Linked DNA regions of Xenopus tropicalis. The protein of the gene in region 1 purifies or fractionates together with the protein of each later gene. This does not show direct contact. Links are inferred from orthologs where the notes say so. Each region holds a gene or a part of one and is shown on either strand. Other genes may lie near its edges. The genes, in order: mycbp2, skp1, fbxo45 and fbxw7.

The links.
Region 2: the proteins of mycbp2 (region 1) and skp1 purify together in Homo sapiens (affinity purification with mass spectrometry; 4 studies listed by BioGRID and IntAct, with this or other methods). This does not show direct contact. The link is inferred for Xenopus tropicalis from reciprocal best matches to the Homo sapiens genes MYCBP2 and SKP1.
Region 3: the proteins of mycbp2 (region 1) and fbxo45 purify together in Homo sapiens (affinity purification with western blotting; 7 studies listed by BioGRID and IntAct, with this or other methods). This does not show direct contact. The link is inferred for Xenopus tropicalis from reciprocal best matches to the Homo sapiens genes MYCBP2 and FBXO45.
Region 4: the proteins of mycbp2 (region 1) and fbxw7 purify together in Homo sapiens (affinity purification with mass spectrometry; 6 studies listed by BioGRID and IntAct, counting the BioPlex papers as one, with this or other methods). This does not show direct contact. The link is inferred for Xenopus tropicalis from reciprocal best matches to the Homo sapiens genes MYCBP2 and FBXW7.

What each region holds. Positions count from the first base shown.
Region 1 is NC_030678.2:126,190,622-126,194,188, forward strand, and holds part of mycbp2 (E3 ubiquitin-protein ligase MYCBP2), read left to right. Parts: intron 1-180; coding exon 181-330; intron 331-1,514; coding exon 1,515-1,675; intron 1,676-2,210; coding exon 2,211-2,355; intron 2,356-3,309; coding exon 3,310-3,534; intron 3,535-3,567. UniProt on the Homo sapiens protein: Atypical E3 ubiquitin-protein ligase which specifically mediates ubiquitination of threonine and serine residues on target proteins, instead of ubiquitinating lysine residues.
Region 2 is NC_030679.2:26,567,518-26,571,732, reverse strand, and holds the start of skp1 (S-phase kinase-associated protein 1), read right to left. Parts: upstream 2,847-4,215; 5' UTR 2,845-2,846; coding exon 2,748-2,844; intron 2,017-2,747; coding exon 1,943-2,016; intron 1,288-1,942; coding exon 1,144-1,287; intron 1-1,143. UniProt on the Homo sapiens protein: Essential component of the SCF (SKP1-CUL1-F-box protein) ubiquitin ligase complex, which mediates the ubiquitination of proteins involved in cell cycle progression, signal transduction and transcription.
Region 3 is NC_030681.2:129,851,904-129,855,969, forward strand, and holds the start of fbxo45 (F-box/SPRY domain-containing protein 1), read right to left. Parts: upstream 2,833-4,066; 5' UTR 2,726-2,832; coding exon 2,420-2,725; intron 1,553-2,419; coding exon 1,196-1,552; intron 1-1,195. UniProt on the Homo sapiens protein: Component of E3 ubiquitin ligase complex consisting of FBXO45, MYCBP2 and SKP1. Functions in substrate recognition but also plays an important role in assembly of the complex.
Region 4 is NC_030677.2:55,548,300-55,551,866, forward strand, and holds part of fbxw7 (F-box/WD repeat-containing protein 7), read left to right. Parts: intron 1-336; coding exon 337-518; intron 519-1,731; coding exon 1,732-1,957; intron 1,958-3,056; coding exon 3,057-3,267; intron 3,268-3,567. UniProt on the Homo sapiens protein: Substrate recognition component of a SCF (SKP1-CUL1-F-box protein) E3 ubiquitin-protein ligase complex which mediates the ubiquitination and subsequent proteasomal degradation of target proteins.

The DNA.
Region 1 (3,567 bases):
TTTTATTTGGTGAGTTGTCTGGTTGTTGCATTACCATAACAGGGACATCAACAGTTGGTGCAGTGTAGGAGAAGTACAATTACATATTTAAATATGTGTTAAGGTAGGAGGTTTGTCCTAACAGGGTGTCACACACACATGCACTTCAGCGCATTTCCATAACTTTTTTTTTTTTTGTAGGCTTTCAATTGGCTGCTTTGTAATGTCATTCAGACAACATCTCTCCATGATATCTTATGGCATTTTGTGGCCTCCCTAACTCCTGCTCCAGTGGAACCAGAAGAAGATGAGGATGAGGAAAACAAAGCTAACAAGGAAAACGCTGAACAGGTACAGTCTGTAGTCTAAAAAGGGAATGCAAACTACAAATTATCAACGGCTTTGAGTTTATTTGTAAATATTTTTGCTATTGAAACAATACACGCTTCTTTCTTATTTTTGCTAAGTTTCAGGAGTCAAAAACAGACAAAAGAAATTTGTGTAGAATGTCATTGTTTTGCATTAAACAAAAATGGAGGTTTAAAGGGCATGTTCACCTTCCAAACATTTTTTTAGTCCAGTTGTTTGCAGATAGTACACCAGAAATTACTTTTTTTTTCAGTTAACTTATATAATTTATTTTTAAATTTTAATGTTCCTCTCTCTGGTATTTCAGTCTGGCATAACTAGAAACTCAGGGAATCCTATGCACTATTTTTAAATTGATTTTAACCTCTTACCCACATTGTCTTTCTGATCTTATTACACCATGTTTTGCCAGATACCATGTGGAACAGCACAGCTCAAGTAGTAACCTAGATACTTAAGTTGCTCATCATTGGCAGTCAGGTCCTTTAGGCCACATACTATAAAACATACAATCTACAGAAATAAAGAGGGTTAAATAATTATGTCAAATTGTTTTGTAAATATCAGCCATTATGTGATAATATCAAGATTATCAAACATATTTACCAATGGGTAAAAGTTAGACTTCACCATTTGATAAATGGATAGAAAGTGGGGTAATTTTTCTGTATGGAGCTCTAATTTCACACTTTGCTAAATTTGCCCCTAAATCTCAAATCACTGCCCATGGGGCACTACTCCCTTATGCACCTCCGTAAAACTGCACTGACAAGTACAACTTCTGCCTCTGCTTGGCTACACAAAGTAGAGCTGAGCGGGAATTGGCCCAAAAACTAGAAGGCAAGACATTTTTAGGCCAATCTCTGCTCAGCTCCGCCTTGTGTAGCCAAGCGGAAGCTGTAATTGTCAGTACAGTGTACTGAGGTGCATAAGAGAGTGAATCCCCTTCTCTCAGCTTGCAAAAAAACACAAGATCAGAGCAGCAAAGCCAACTTTCAAAGTGCAAAACAGATCTGGGGGAGAATGCTTAAATGGCATTCAAGATTGGCCCCCAGACACCCTAGGACAGGGATCCCCAATCATTTGTACTTGTGAGCCACACAGATGCATATACACACACATATATATATATATATATATAATATATAGTATAATTTTTTTTTAAGGAAAAAGACACAAGAGTATGTGAACACCCATTGTCAGACATAGTTATTGCTGGGGAAGCAGCACATCCCTTGCCAGACACATTTCATCGTCTTCTACAGACCATTTCGGACCTGATGATGTCTCTTCCTGGGGGTAGTTCCTTGCAACAGATGGCACTGAGGTAAAGACCCATTACTGTGTATTAATGGTATAACAGTGATGTATGCAGAGTCTTTGTTGTAGTTTAAACTGGGTTGTGTCAGAATTGTGTAGTTAGGTATTGGGGGCAGGTCAGTGGGTCTCAAATGAAACCATCTCCAAGTTATGATGACATCAGTTCCAGTGTCGGAAAACATTACTTACAATGGGGTGGTGGTGAGCAGAACTGGTTACGGATAAAGCAGTTACAGTGTATATACAGTAAATGCATGACACCGATCTGCAGGTTGAGTGTACATTTGCCCACTTGAGCTTACGCTGGTTGCTAGAGTTGGGTAAAAACAGGCACAGACACTAAAAAATATATTAACTTTTGGGAGAGTTAAGAGCATTATACATTAGACATTGATTTAATGTTTATTAAGCCACGGGTCTTGCAAAGAAGCTGCTTGCAGTTATTAATTTCTTTTAATGCTTTCAGCTAATATTGTTTCATACCTTTTACTAAAATGTTTGATCAAATATTTATGCCCCTTTGTTTTATCCGTTTTTTTCAGATGTTGGAGTCTGAAATTCAAGCAATCAGACCACCAGTTTCTACATCAGAGTAATGTATTTCGTCATATTAATAACATTCTCTCCAAGTCAGATGATGGAGACAGTGAGGAGAGTTTTAACATCAGTGTGCAGTCTGGATTTGAGGCAAGTTTCAACAGTGTACAGTCCCGATGTTAAAATAATGTTAGTTGTGAGACAAAACAGCATAATAGAAATAAAATGATTTATAGGGATTCTGTTGAGGTAGAACATGCTTTTTACTAAGAGAATTTTTTTTTTTAATTTTGAAATCTGATGTGGGGCTTGACATATTCTTAGTGTCCCAGGTGCCTTTAGCCATGTGACCTGTTCTCTGGTAAACTTCAATCACACTTAACTGCTGCAAGTTAGAGTGCTATCACCCCCCCTCCCACCCCCCCAGCAGCCGATCAGCAGAACAATAGAAAGGTAACCACTCCCTGACACCTGCATTGCTAAAAATGCTCCCATGCCCCACCAAGTGGTAGATATAAGAATAGCACTCAATAGTAAAACAAACAACCCATGACTCCTCCAGTTACATTGAGTAGGAGAAACAATAGTTACCTGCAAGCAGTTCTGTTGCGCAGTGCTGGCTTTTTATGAAAGTGCAAGATCAGACACAATGCACTGAGATGGCTGCCTACACACCAATATTACATTTTAAATGGTAGAATTAATAATTTGCAATGTGAACAGTGTAGTATAGTAATAAAAACTATATCATAAAAATCATGACAGAATCAATGTATCTCATTGGTTTGTCAACACAATATAGTTAGTTATGTAGTTCTTGCTCATAATTCTTGTGAATTTGGTTGCAATAAGTAGCACATAGACATTTACAACATGCCCACTAATAATAGCAGCAATGATTATTTTAAAAGTAATTCAAAATAATTTAAAAGTATTATGGTCACATTTACCATTAAATGCATAATTGCTAAGGTAAGTGGTACAGGGGGCATGAGACAATAATAAAAAATGCATATAGCGGTGTCAGTTTTTGTCAAGTGATCTTCTTTTACATTGTCATGTTATACTCCTTTTAGTATTGTTAAATTCCATTTTTTCTTACAGGGATCCTGCTTGGTAACTGGCTTAAAAGATATGACAAGCATTGTGGATATAAAGACTTCCAGCAGACCAGCCATGATTGGAAGTCTGACTGATGGATCAACAGAAACATTTTGGGAGTCAGGAGATGAAGATAAAAATAAAACCAAAAGCATAACGATAAACTGTGTGAAAGGCATAAACACTCGTTATGTTTCTGTTCACATAGACAATTCTCGGGACTTAGGGGTAATAATCACTGTGCTGTACTTATTTACTTTT
Region 2 (4,215 bases), on another chromosome or scaffold:
CAAACCCACCCCTGATTTGCTCACACTCCCTTGTATTTGATATGGTACCAATAGACTGCAGAAAAGCTTATGAATTGGCTTAGAAGCAATATATGTTTATGACAATGACACAAAAGTTATGCAGCTCAATCAGTGCCACCAAGAATGTAGCATCCTTTAGGAGGAACTGGACAAACTGGGAGACTGGCCTGCTAAGTGGCATTCCAAAATATGCAAGGAGCTGGGGTGACTTGTGGAAAATAAACTTAGCTTTAGCAAGCAATGCCAGTCAGCGGAAGGAAGAGCCAGCAAGGTATACAGACTCAGAGGGGAAGTACATATTCCCACTTTAGAAAACACTGGCAAAGGCCCCATCTAGAATATGCAGTGCAGTATTGGTCTCAAATCCTTAAATGGATATTAATGAAATAGTAGCTCTTTTTGGACTCGCTCTAAATTAATGAAGGGTATTTTATGAGGAAAAGTTATCATACGTGCTTTAAGTGGCGTATAAGCACTACATATGAATATGCAAGTGTAATTTATGTATATAGGATTGAGATGAAAAAAAAAAAAATAGTTTCAGCCATTTTCAGTTTGGAAGTTAAATCTATGCTGACTGAGGAATATATGGACATGTGTATGTAAATTTTTAAAAATCTTTTATGAATTAGTGTATAAATTTCTAGTAACTGTTGTGTTATGTGTTAACAAGTAAAATGGCAGCCACGTTTTAATGTATGAATAAAATTATGTGTGTTAAAACTATATTGCTCAGAAGCAACATGCAGATGCCATGTGGATGCCTTTATTGAAGCCACTAAGGACAAAATTATGCACAACGTTTCATATATGTGGGCTCACCCTTACCTCTCAAGTGCAGGAGAACAAGCACACTTTGTTGGAACATGTTAATGGCAAGGTTTTTAAATATCAACTCTCCTACCTCTTTCGGACAAAAACACAAATAATTACTGGCTGTGTTGTGTGTGCACTACCTTCAGGCTGTGTTGTGTGTGCAATACCTTCAGACTGTGTGGTACTTTAAGTTGCAGGTTCCCTTTAAGGTTATTAATACTACTAAGTACAAGTACTAGAAATACACTTATGTAATTCTAATGGGTTCTATAAAAGCTGTTGGGTTTTTTGGTGAGCATGCCTCACCAAAATCAGTTCAAATAGTGTTCCCTGATCCACTTTTAAAAACTCTTGGTCCCACACAGGGATATCATCTGTTCTCTTCTCTTTGTTTTCATCGTCTTCGGGTGGAGGGGGATCATCTTTATGATGTGTACACCACTGAATGACCTGATGAAAATAAAAGTACATAGGTATTTATCTTTATGATTTATACAACTGACTGCATTTGTTGGCCAGGTCCTGAATCCAAGACAATGTGGTACTGCTAAACTTAAGATATGTTCAATTTCATCATTTTGTTGTTTATATGTTAATATAATTCAAGCTAGTAAAAAAAAAAAAAAAAAAAAAAGTAAATCTTGTAACAACCTACACTTGAAGAGCTAAACCAAAAATAGGAGCAATGTCCTCTACTGCCTGAATTAGAGAGCAAGTGTTTCTAGGTCTGAAACAGTATACATCATAACTCAAGAATATGAAACCCCAAACAGCAGGATGAAGTTCCTAATAACCAATAGTTCAGTTTTATTTTTTTACTTGCCAATATGCCTTAAAACCCTGGCATTTATAAGTAGTTCTTCTTCTGGCAGTGATAAGCAAATATAAATAATGTGTGTGTGTGTGTGTGTGTAGGGGGGGGGGAGGCTGTTGCAACTTTTTAATTAACACAATTCTGAATCTGGTACAATTTTTTTGTCCTAATTACATTGCATTATATCCCTGCAGCAAACCAACACCTCTAAAAAAAAAAAAAACAATCTCTAATCTGCATCCAGTATTCTAGTATGGGTATACGTAAAACCACTACCTAAATAGCACTTACTTTTTTAAGGATTGCAGCATTAACATTGGGAAGTGGCACAGGGTCATCATCACCTTCATCATCCATACCCAGATCTGTTTAAAAACATTTAATTGATAACTGTGTCTTGCCAAAAAAATGTAAAAAAAAACCCAAGATAATTTAGACAGAAAGGCAATGTTCTAAAACTATAGTCAAATAAGAGATTTCTCAAGAATTTACACAAAATAAATTTAAACACAACAGAAATATTACAACCAGTTCCTCTGAGGACAATTTTTTTTCAGCAAGACTGCTACTTATTTGTTATATTGGGATCACTGCTGTTATGAGTAGTTTGAAACGCTGTGTACCTGTTATGTAGTGAACAGCACCAAAACTTTTTTTTTTTTTAATAAAAAGCCCTTATTCCATCATTTCCAAATCCTGGATTGTACAAACAATGTTTTCTAAAGTACCCTGTGTACCTGTCTCTTATCAGTGTAAAAGGAGCTACTACCTAAAAAGATAATCCTCCACAAACCCAAGAAATTTCCCAATTTGAAAGTGGATGACAAAATGATTGGAATTACCCCTGACATTTCAATTGCAAATGTCTGTTCACCCAGGTGCACTCAAAGGTCATGCAAATGCTACATAGAAGAAAAATTCCCAGCAATATTGTTTCTGTAAAGGGATTGCTTTTGGAGAGAATCCACTCAATTGCCCAATGTGCCTTTACACCAACACTTTCAAAGCTAGGAGAATAAAAACAAATGAAGACCTGCACACCAGAGGACAAAATTATAAAGAATACATATTCAAAGAATTTTTTTTTAAAAAGTACCTTCCAACATAGTTTTAATTGTTACTGACTGCTTTGCAATTTCAACATCCACTTCAAAAATCTCTCCATCAGAACTCTGCAGCTTTATAGAAGGCATCTGAAAAACAAAAACACATTAATCAACACAAACAGTACTGCTTAGTGAAGTTACTGCAAGCAAAACAGAAAGAAAATCAATTGGTACTTTCAATGAGAGATGATCAGGAAGGCAGCTGTGAAACTCAAGATGCTGCACTGAAGCACATTTAAGCATGGTGAGCAGGAGAGACATGGGAACAAAATGGCAGCAAGCACAGCAAGTGCACTGCAGGCCATTGTAGGCAAGTAGAATCACAGAGTGGCTAACATGGCAACCACCCCCCCAGTGACTATACCTTTCCTTCTGCTTTAATGAAATGCAAACATCATGTTTCATGCCCTGGTTGTCAGTAAGGCAGGGCCAATAAAAATAATCATCTATACAACAGCCCTGGTGCCTGGTTGCTTCAGTCTCTGCCCAAGACCCACACCAACTGTGCAATATACAGTGGTCTGGCACGGCCTAATGAGCAAAGGGAAGAAGCTGCAGCTAGTAGGAATAAGAAGGGGCCTGCCAACTGTTGCCAGCACCCTGCCCTCCACTACCAGGAAGAGAATAAGGAGCTAAAAGCTTTGGGTCTCATCCGGAATGTGCAATTACCGGTACTCTGCAATTTTCAGAGAGCTGTGCAGGAATTGGGAAAATGCACTAAATTCTAACAGCTGTCAACCTGGCACTGCTCCTTTAACAGCCGACTGCAAATGGCTGGACAGCTGGAGATGGATGAACCCTTGTTAACACTGGCCACCATTAGTGTGCACGCAGTACACAAAGGGAAAGTGTCTCTGGCATATATGATGTGGGAAAGACTTACTGAGCAGGTATAACTATGGAAGCAGAACAAAGTAATTACCAACAAAGGGTGTCATTTTACTGCTGCAGTATGACTTTGCCAATAGCAGCCAGGATAATGGCAATTGCCAAGCTCCAAATCTGCATTAGAGGCCATTTGCCCATCCTGCCCAGAAAAAGAATCTGTACATCAATAGTTGACATACAGCCAATTACAGAGAGGACATTTGCTATCCCTGAGCCATGCTTTTCACTCAGCCTCATTTTAAACAAAGGCTTTATGAATTAAAATAACAGAAGTTTGGCCTAGACAGCAACATACAGAGCAGAGTGACTAACAGCACAAGGCAATAGGAATTACCATATTCTGTTAAAAAGAGGACTGGTTATTAAATATCTTAGAGGGGACAGAGTGTACTTGAAATCTTAATTGTGTAGTTAAGCACATTTTTAATCTTACAGGTATGGGATCTAGATTAAGGAGACTCATTATCAAGAAAGCTTTTGGAAATGCCATTTTATTATTGTTTGACCAATTTCCTTTTGCTCTATAATAGTGGATATTTCAAAACGGTGACTGATCCCCTACAAGTTCCA
Region 3 (4,066 bases), on another chromosome or scaffold:
CATTCTCGCCGGTGGGATGGCATTTCGGGGAGATTAGTCGCCTGCGACAAGGGAGATTTGTCACGGGCGACTAATCTCCCCGTGTGCCACAGCCCTAAACCCCCTATATAACTCTTCCTTATCTGTAAACCTAAAACATGTGATGCAGATGAGAAAATGGATAGGAATATTTATACAGAGATCATTATTTTTATTTAACCACTCTAATTATAGGTGGGAGGAGGGAGATGAAGGAAAAAGGTAAAACTAAAACCTTACACAGATGCTCTTTTGGCAAAATAAAAATAGGCATTTATACTATACTTGGATACACATCTTTTACTGCACTATTTTAGCTCAAGCCAAAAAGCACTGCCTTTTAAAAACAATCTGATTAAAATTATGTTCAAGGGGGTAGTTCATCCATACAGAACTTATTTTTGCACAGTCGCACAACTCCTCTATTTTTGAACATTTTCCAGAAATGCAAGTTTTAATAACAAAATAGTTTTGGTTTCCACTCTCATGTTTCTCAGTAGCAAACCAGTGAAAAAAACAATCACCATTCCAGTTGTTTTAAGCCGGCCATACATCATCATCCAAACCTTGTTTTGTAATATATTCGGTGCGTGTATGGCGGCATGAAGAGGCAACCAATATTGCAAAGGCGGATATCAGACGCCTCTTCACTTGGCCAGGTTAAAAGGCGCCCAAGCAAAATCTACATTTAGGGCAGAATCGGCAGAAGGAGGTAGAATTCCTATTGTTTCTTCCTCCATATCTGACAATTCAGCCCTGAATGTCAGTGGAGGGTGGGAACGATCTTTCCTGTGACCAATAGTCGCATGAAAGATGGTTATTGCTACGTGTGTTGCCACCTTTAAACGTCTCACTACTAGACCTGGATGAATGAAAAACGTCAAAGACATCTGATACATCAGTCGACACATTGCTCAGCCCCAACTAATAGTCTGTAACAACCCAATTGTAAAACTGATAATTGCTGCTATTTTTTTTTTTTTAATGCTGCTGAAAACTGTATCAATACTAGAGTATGAGATATAGCAGTTTAGGAAGTTAGAGATCTAGAAAATAAACTAGAAACATTCCTTTTTAAAGCCTAGAAAGGAAAAAAATAAAAATCAATTAAAACTACTACATGGGATATGCTAACAAGTTGAACTACCCTTTTAAAATCATAATTGGATAAACTCACCTGGTATTTTGGGGCATTATTGCACTGGGGGAAGCTACCGTTTACCTCCCCATTATGCAACAAATTGTTATCCACAAGATTCCAGCCCCAGCTTTGGTCATCACTGCCCAGGAGTGCCACATACCCCTGACACTGCATAGGTGCCCGTTTTGTAGCTATTCCTATTACAGCAACTGTTCCCAAAGGGCCTTCCCACCACACTTCCCATGCGTGACGACCTTCACTGAAGCCGATTTTGGTGCGTGCTCCATCTGTACTCTGTGCTATGGGGTTTCGGTGAAGGGTGAAACCATTTTTCTTAATGTAGACATTTCTGGAGCAGTCACTTGAACTGAATCCATGCTGAAAGGCCCGCATCTGCAAGAAATGGCATGTAAAGAAATGCATTTAGACACAAACACAAGCCCCAATATAAGAAATGCACATTAAAGAGGATGTTAACATTGAGACTTTTGTCCACCCAATGGGTCTGCAGTCCCTGCTTAGTACAGCTATTCTAATGAATGAAGAATTAATAATTATCCATGGGAGACCAGACTTAGTAGTTCACCTTAATACCTATAAAATATGTAGGCATCAGTATTGTAAAACCATTTGCCATTATGATATTCCCCTTAAAGTTGGCTGAACACACATATGTTTTACCAAGATTTTCGTACCATAGCGGTTTAGTCAATCCGCCAGTCTGTGCATGTATTGTGTATTGCGGGCCTACAATGCAATTCCAGGAAGTCACGTTTGTACGATTGATGTCTGACAGCTATGTTATATTCAGAATTTCCTCCAATTTAATATTCTTAGGACTATATCCTACAATTTCAATGTGAATGTTAGATTGTTGCATTTAAACTCATGATCGATATCTGAACATTCGTTGGAAGAAGACTAAAATCTGAACGTGTAGGATCTGATTTTAATTCAGATCAGCATTAAGGGGGATGTAAACCCCAAGATAAGTTAAAATCTGTAGCAGCAAAGCATTAAGGGACATATAATACCATTGTATTTACAAATACCCAGCGATTTTTTGTTTAAATAAATGTATATTGGTGATTAGAAAATGAATGTTCTTTCATTAGGCAGAATTATTTAGGCAGCTTTCGATCCCCGGTAAGTGTGCGCACAGGCTCCCCAGAGTATATATAGGAAGAGAGTAAAGCCCAGGCAGGGTATATTATCCATTCATGCGGCAGGGCACAGCAAGCAGGGGAATGGCAGCCCCACCTTTGCCTTGTATGTCGGCAGGTTGCACAGTATGTCGGTTCGCAAGGCTTCCTCGCTGACGATTCTGCCGCACAGACTCCTCCACACTTCACTGTTCTCGTCTCCGTGCAGACAGCGGTACCAGTGCTTACACACCAGGCCGCAGCTGCGCAGGTCAGGCAGGTCCAAATAGGAGAACACCAGTTCGAGCACCCTGCTAGGCAGCCTACCCGAAGCCTGACTCAGCGGCGGCGGCGGAGGAGGAGGAGGTGCTGTTGGAGCCACCGGAGGAGGAGGTGCAGCAGCATTAATAGCTGCTGCCGCCATACCCTCCGTATTCCAGGCAGCGACGCTTCACCGGCCTCCACACAGACACCTCATCAACCAGCGCCGGCTCCGGCCCTATGCATCACGTCATGCCCAGCCAATCAGACTAAGGAGAAGGGGTTCCCGAACGCTCAACCAATTATCGCTAGGGTCCACTAAAAATGAGGACGCTTCCTGGTTTCTGCACTTTCTCCACCTGACCTACTTGCAGCCAATAGCTGCTTAGTATGGACCCCACGTGCTCCTATTCCTAAGCGCTTACCAATCAGAGGAGCGGTAGAAAGGAGCTGCCTGAGGAGGTTGCTATATCGGGCATTAGAGTGCCTGCTGTGAGGTAAAAGCGTGCTTGAAAGTGTATAGATTGCCTTTCTGGCAAGTTCCTTATGTGTATTAGATATGAAATGTGCAGATCTGCTTACTAATATTTACACGGGTCTATATTTTGTAGCTGCTGGGTGTCTCAGTCTGCACTGGCAGGAACCCCATTTCATGTGGCTAAGGCTTCGCTATCATTGCAGAAACATGCTGCATGGCTGCACCGAGCCCTGCCCCAGGCCCACAACCTTAATAATCAATCATTGCCTGTCTGTATATGGCTGATAACTGCTGTACCGTTATACACTCACCTCAATAGAAATGCCACAGAAATCTCTACATTTATTGAACCCAAATCTGTTTTTTTTGTTTAAGTAAATAACACAGTCAAAGGGAAATTTGAAGTCTAACTTGACCAGTTATTTAGTTTAGTTATCCCGTTGGGTTACACAACATATTGTGGTGCGCACAAGGAACTTTCTGTGAAAACACAACATTTTGTATCCTGACCTGAACACACTGTGTGGCACATAGCCAAGAATGAATTAGATGTATGGAAGGAAGGTATGAAAGCTGCTGAACTAAAGGGGCCAGTATATCACAAAAGTGGCCAGAAAAGCTCTGCAACCAAGTTGAATTTTTAATTTGACTTTAAATCACTATTATAGGGGCACATTTACTTACTCACAAACGGGCTGAATGCGTCCGATTGCGTTTTTTTCGTAATGATCGGTATTTGGCGATTTTTCGGAAAATTGTCGCGACTTTTTTGTTGCCATTCCGAATGTTGCGCAAAATCTGGCGATTTTTTCGTAGCGTTACTACTTGCGCGAAAAGTCACAACTTTTTCGTAGCCTTCGCGCCAAGTACTAAAGATTCGGATTCATTCAAGCTTCAGTATGGTGACTTTTCTTGGGCCAGGTTGGAGCTGCAGAGTGCCATTGAGCCCTATGGGAGACTTTCCTTGGGCCGGGTTGGAGCTGCAGAGTGCCATTGAGCCCTATGGGAGACTTTCCTTGGGCCGGG
Region 4 (3,567 bases), on another chromosome or scaffold:
CTTCACCCTAAAGGTTAAGACACCTGGCCTAACTGGTGAGGTGACATTATAGTTTCAGGTTGTCATTCACTGGTCATATTCATTGAGGGATTGGGGACAGTGATCTTTGTTTCTTTCTGCTACAATAGTGATACAGGAGCCCTTCTTCTGTCTGCCCCGCCCCAGGCCCAATACAGAATAAATAAAAGGTAGCCTGGGCAACTTGATACTGACTAAACACTAGGATTTGCAGTCTTTGGATTTTGTGCTGAAGCAGCTTATTTTTGGACCTGTATCTGTATCTAAATAGCAGTAGGAGCACATAACATGACAGGTGCATAATTATGTATTTTACAGTGTCTGAGAACACTTGTTGGGCACACGGGTGGTGTCTGGTCGTCGCAAATGAGAGACAACATCATTATTAGCGGTTCTACAGATCGGACATTGAAAGTATGGAATGCTGAGACCGGGGAATGTATACACACTCTATATGGCCATACCTCCACTGTGCGATGTATGCATCTCCATGAGAAAAGGTCAGTATGTATGTTGCTAACAGGGAAATGTTAAATAAAAATGTCACTTATTACTTGTGTCAGTTCCTAATGCTAGCCAGACATGGGCCACGTTACAGGCCATCTAGCAGATCGTAGTACATGATTTGGGTGGTTAAACACATTTCCAGAGCAGCTGATTAGCCTTTTCACACACTAAATAGTGTTCTGTTGTTTGTGTTTTAGCTAACTGCCAAACATACACTAACCAGTAATGTTAATGTTGGTATTCATTACTGGCTGGTCCACTGGAACTTTTTAAATCGCCCCATGTATCTTCGCCCTTAGTATGTTGTATGATGTAGACAGCACTATTCAGCTTGCTATTAATTAGATTTTTTAGTATTACGGGGTTTGAATCATTTAGAATTTTTGTTTTGGGGCTTAGAATTTGCTAGGGGTTTATTACCTTAGCAACCATGTTCCAAGTACTTTGAAAGTCACAATGAAAGATTAGTAGGAGAAGGGACATGGAGCAACCGGCATTCTGTCACTGCGTGAACAGGTTGCAAAAAGCTCTAAATCACTATTCCCCACCAGTAAACTTTGAGTTAAAGCCCGTGGTGGTGTTTTTATGCAGACATATACTGAAACATAGTTTCAAACAACAATTGCCTTTACAAAATTGAGCGCTTTTATGCGATTTTTATTCATAGTTAATAGAAGGGTGTTTTGTCCTCTACCTAAGAAGCTACAAAACACTTGAAGTGATTTTAAAGCATTTTGGTTACCCTAGTGCCATTATCCATCCTTAGAAAAAATTAACATACAAAATAAATAATGAAGACCAATTGAAAAGTTTCTTAGAATTGGTTTATCTATAACATACTTAAGGTTAATATAAAGGGGAATGTCACTTTTAATTATTAGAGAACTTTTATGGCTGATATCCCTGGGAAGTCATGTGGCGACATTCCAGCCACAAAAGCAAAGAATATATTTTGCATGTATGTGCACATTCCAGCCTGTTAATAAGTATACACTGAGCATTTATAAAACAGAAATGGAACATTAGTGCCAAGGGAAGGCTTTAAAGGGTGGGGGAACTTTAATAATAAGTAATCGGAAAGCAACTTTACATTCCTTTACAAAGGAATTTTACTTTCATTTATTCTTTATGTATTTATGTCATGCCGGTTTCTTTATTTAAGCATGCTACAAGGTAACATATCTGTTCTTGTGTGTCATCCTGCAGGGTTGTGAGCGGTTCACGAGATGCCACCCTTCGAGTATGGGATATTGAGACTGGCCAGTGCTTGCATGTTCTGATGGGGCATGTTGCAGCGGTCCGATGTGTTCAGTATGATGGCCGAAGGGTTGTCAGTGGAGCTTATGACTTCATGGTGAAAGTTTGGGATCCCGAGACAGAGACCTGTTTACACACACTTCAAGGCCACACTAACAGAGTCTATTCCTTACAGGTAGAGACTGGGTGTCATTGTTACTCCATCCTGAATACTGTATGTGAGCTCTGCATGCTCGTTCATTCATTTTAAATATATTAGTTATAATGAATGGGGGACATACCTAATATATTTAAAAAGAAAGGAATTTTACTATCCTCTGCTGTTCAAGCAGTAATGTTACAATTTATGCATTTCTGCAGGTTTTTGCCTTTTGTGTCATTTATATGTTAATCCATTAAAGGTTTTTTATAAATGCATTCATTAATCTTTCTATTATAAAATGCTGCTTAAGAATTTAAGACCAGGGCACATTCCCCCAACATAAATGTAGGTCATTCCATAATAATTTCTATTTACTTTGCCTTGGGCTGTTTGTTATATGCACTCTCGCTTCTTGCTCTTTTTTTTCCCTGTCAGCAGAAATGCCCCCTGGTTATAAGTAGCTTCTTACTGTTTAGCAATTGGTTGTGCTCTTGTAGGTCTCTAATTACTCCTGTTAATGCTGAATAGTTCCTTCTAATTTCATTTGATCTCACAAAAAGGAAACCCAGAGTATCATCAGTTTTTCTGAGTCATATATCCTATTGCTTTGATTGATTAGTTTATTAACTAGGAAATCATTAAAGACAGTCGCAGCTCATCCCACACATAGGACCAAGTCTGTATCTGCTGTGTTAGGCACGGGCAACTATAAGAGAATTGCTTAAGTTGTATTGACGTACTTGTGTTGTATTAGCTAGTATCCAGGGTAACAGGGGTACCAAGGACTTACATGCTATATTTCTGAACACATTTAAGATATATTATCAGTACATTGCTCCGTGTGTGTGATCATCTGAAGGTCAGTCAAGCTTATGGGAAGCTTCTTGAAAACAATAGTTGATCATCTTGTTAAAAAAAAAAAAATATCAATACAACAACAGATATTGGCAGCGTAGGTTCTTTTGTAGATGAGGGGGATGCTGTTCTAGAACAATACTCCCCTATACTCACACCCTAAACAATCTGTGTCAGCAGGCAAACACAATGACTTTGCAGTTTTTAGAGCTCATCTTTAGGTATGTTACTGCTGTACATGTCATTTTAACTGACTTTTTTTTTCCCTCCACTGCAGTTTGACGGCATTCATGTAGTAAGTGGTTCCCTGGATACCTCAATAAGGGTTTGGGATGTGGAGACTGGGAATTGTATCCACACACTGACCGGACATCAATCCTTAACTAGCGGAATGGAGCTGAAGGATAACATTTTAGTCTCGGGAAACGCAGATTCTACTGTTAAAATATGGGACATAAAAACAGGACAGTGTTTACAGACATTGCAAGGTGAGAGCCCAGTTTAATCTGTTTTGCACAGGAACTATTGCCTGAGGTGAAGCTATTAACCTGGAGACTTGAGTTAACTGTGCATTTCTTTTATTTTCCATAGAACTGGTGCTATATACCTATTATACCCTTTTGTTTTATAAACCTTTTACTCTAATATACATGCTTATACCTTAAATAAGATAATGTGTAAATTGTAATCAATGTTTAAAAAATGTTTTTCAGAGTAGATTTTGTTCTCCCTTCTTGTTAGTGAGATATTTACTGGTGGAACAATGAGTTCTCTAAATCTTGCATGTT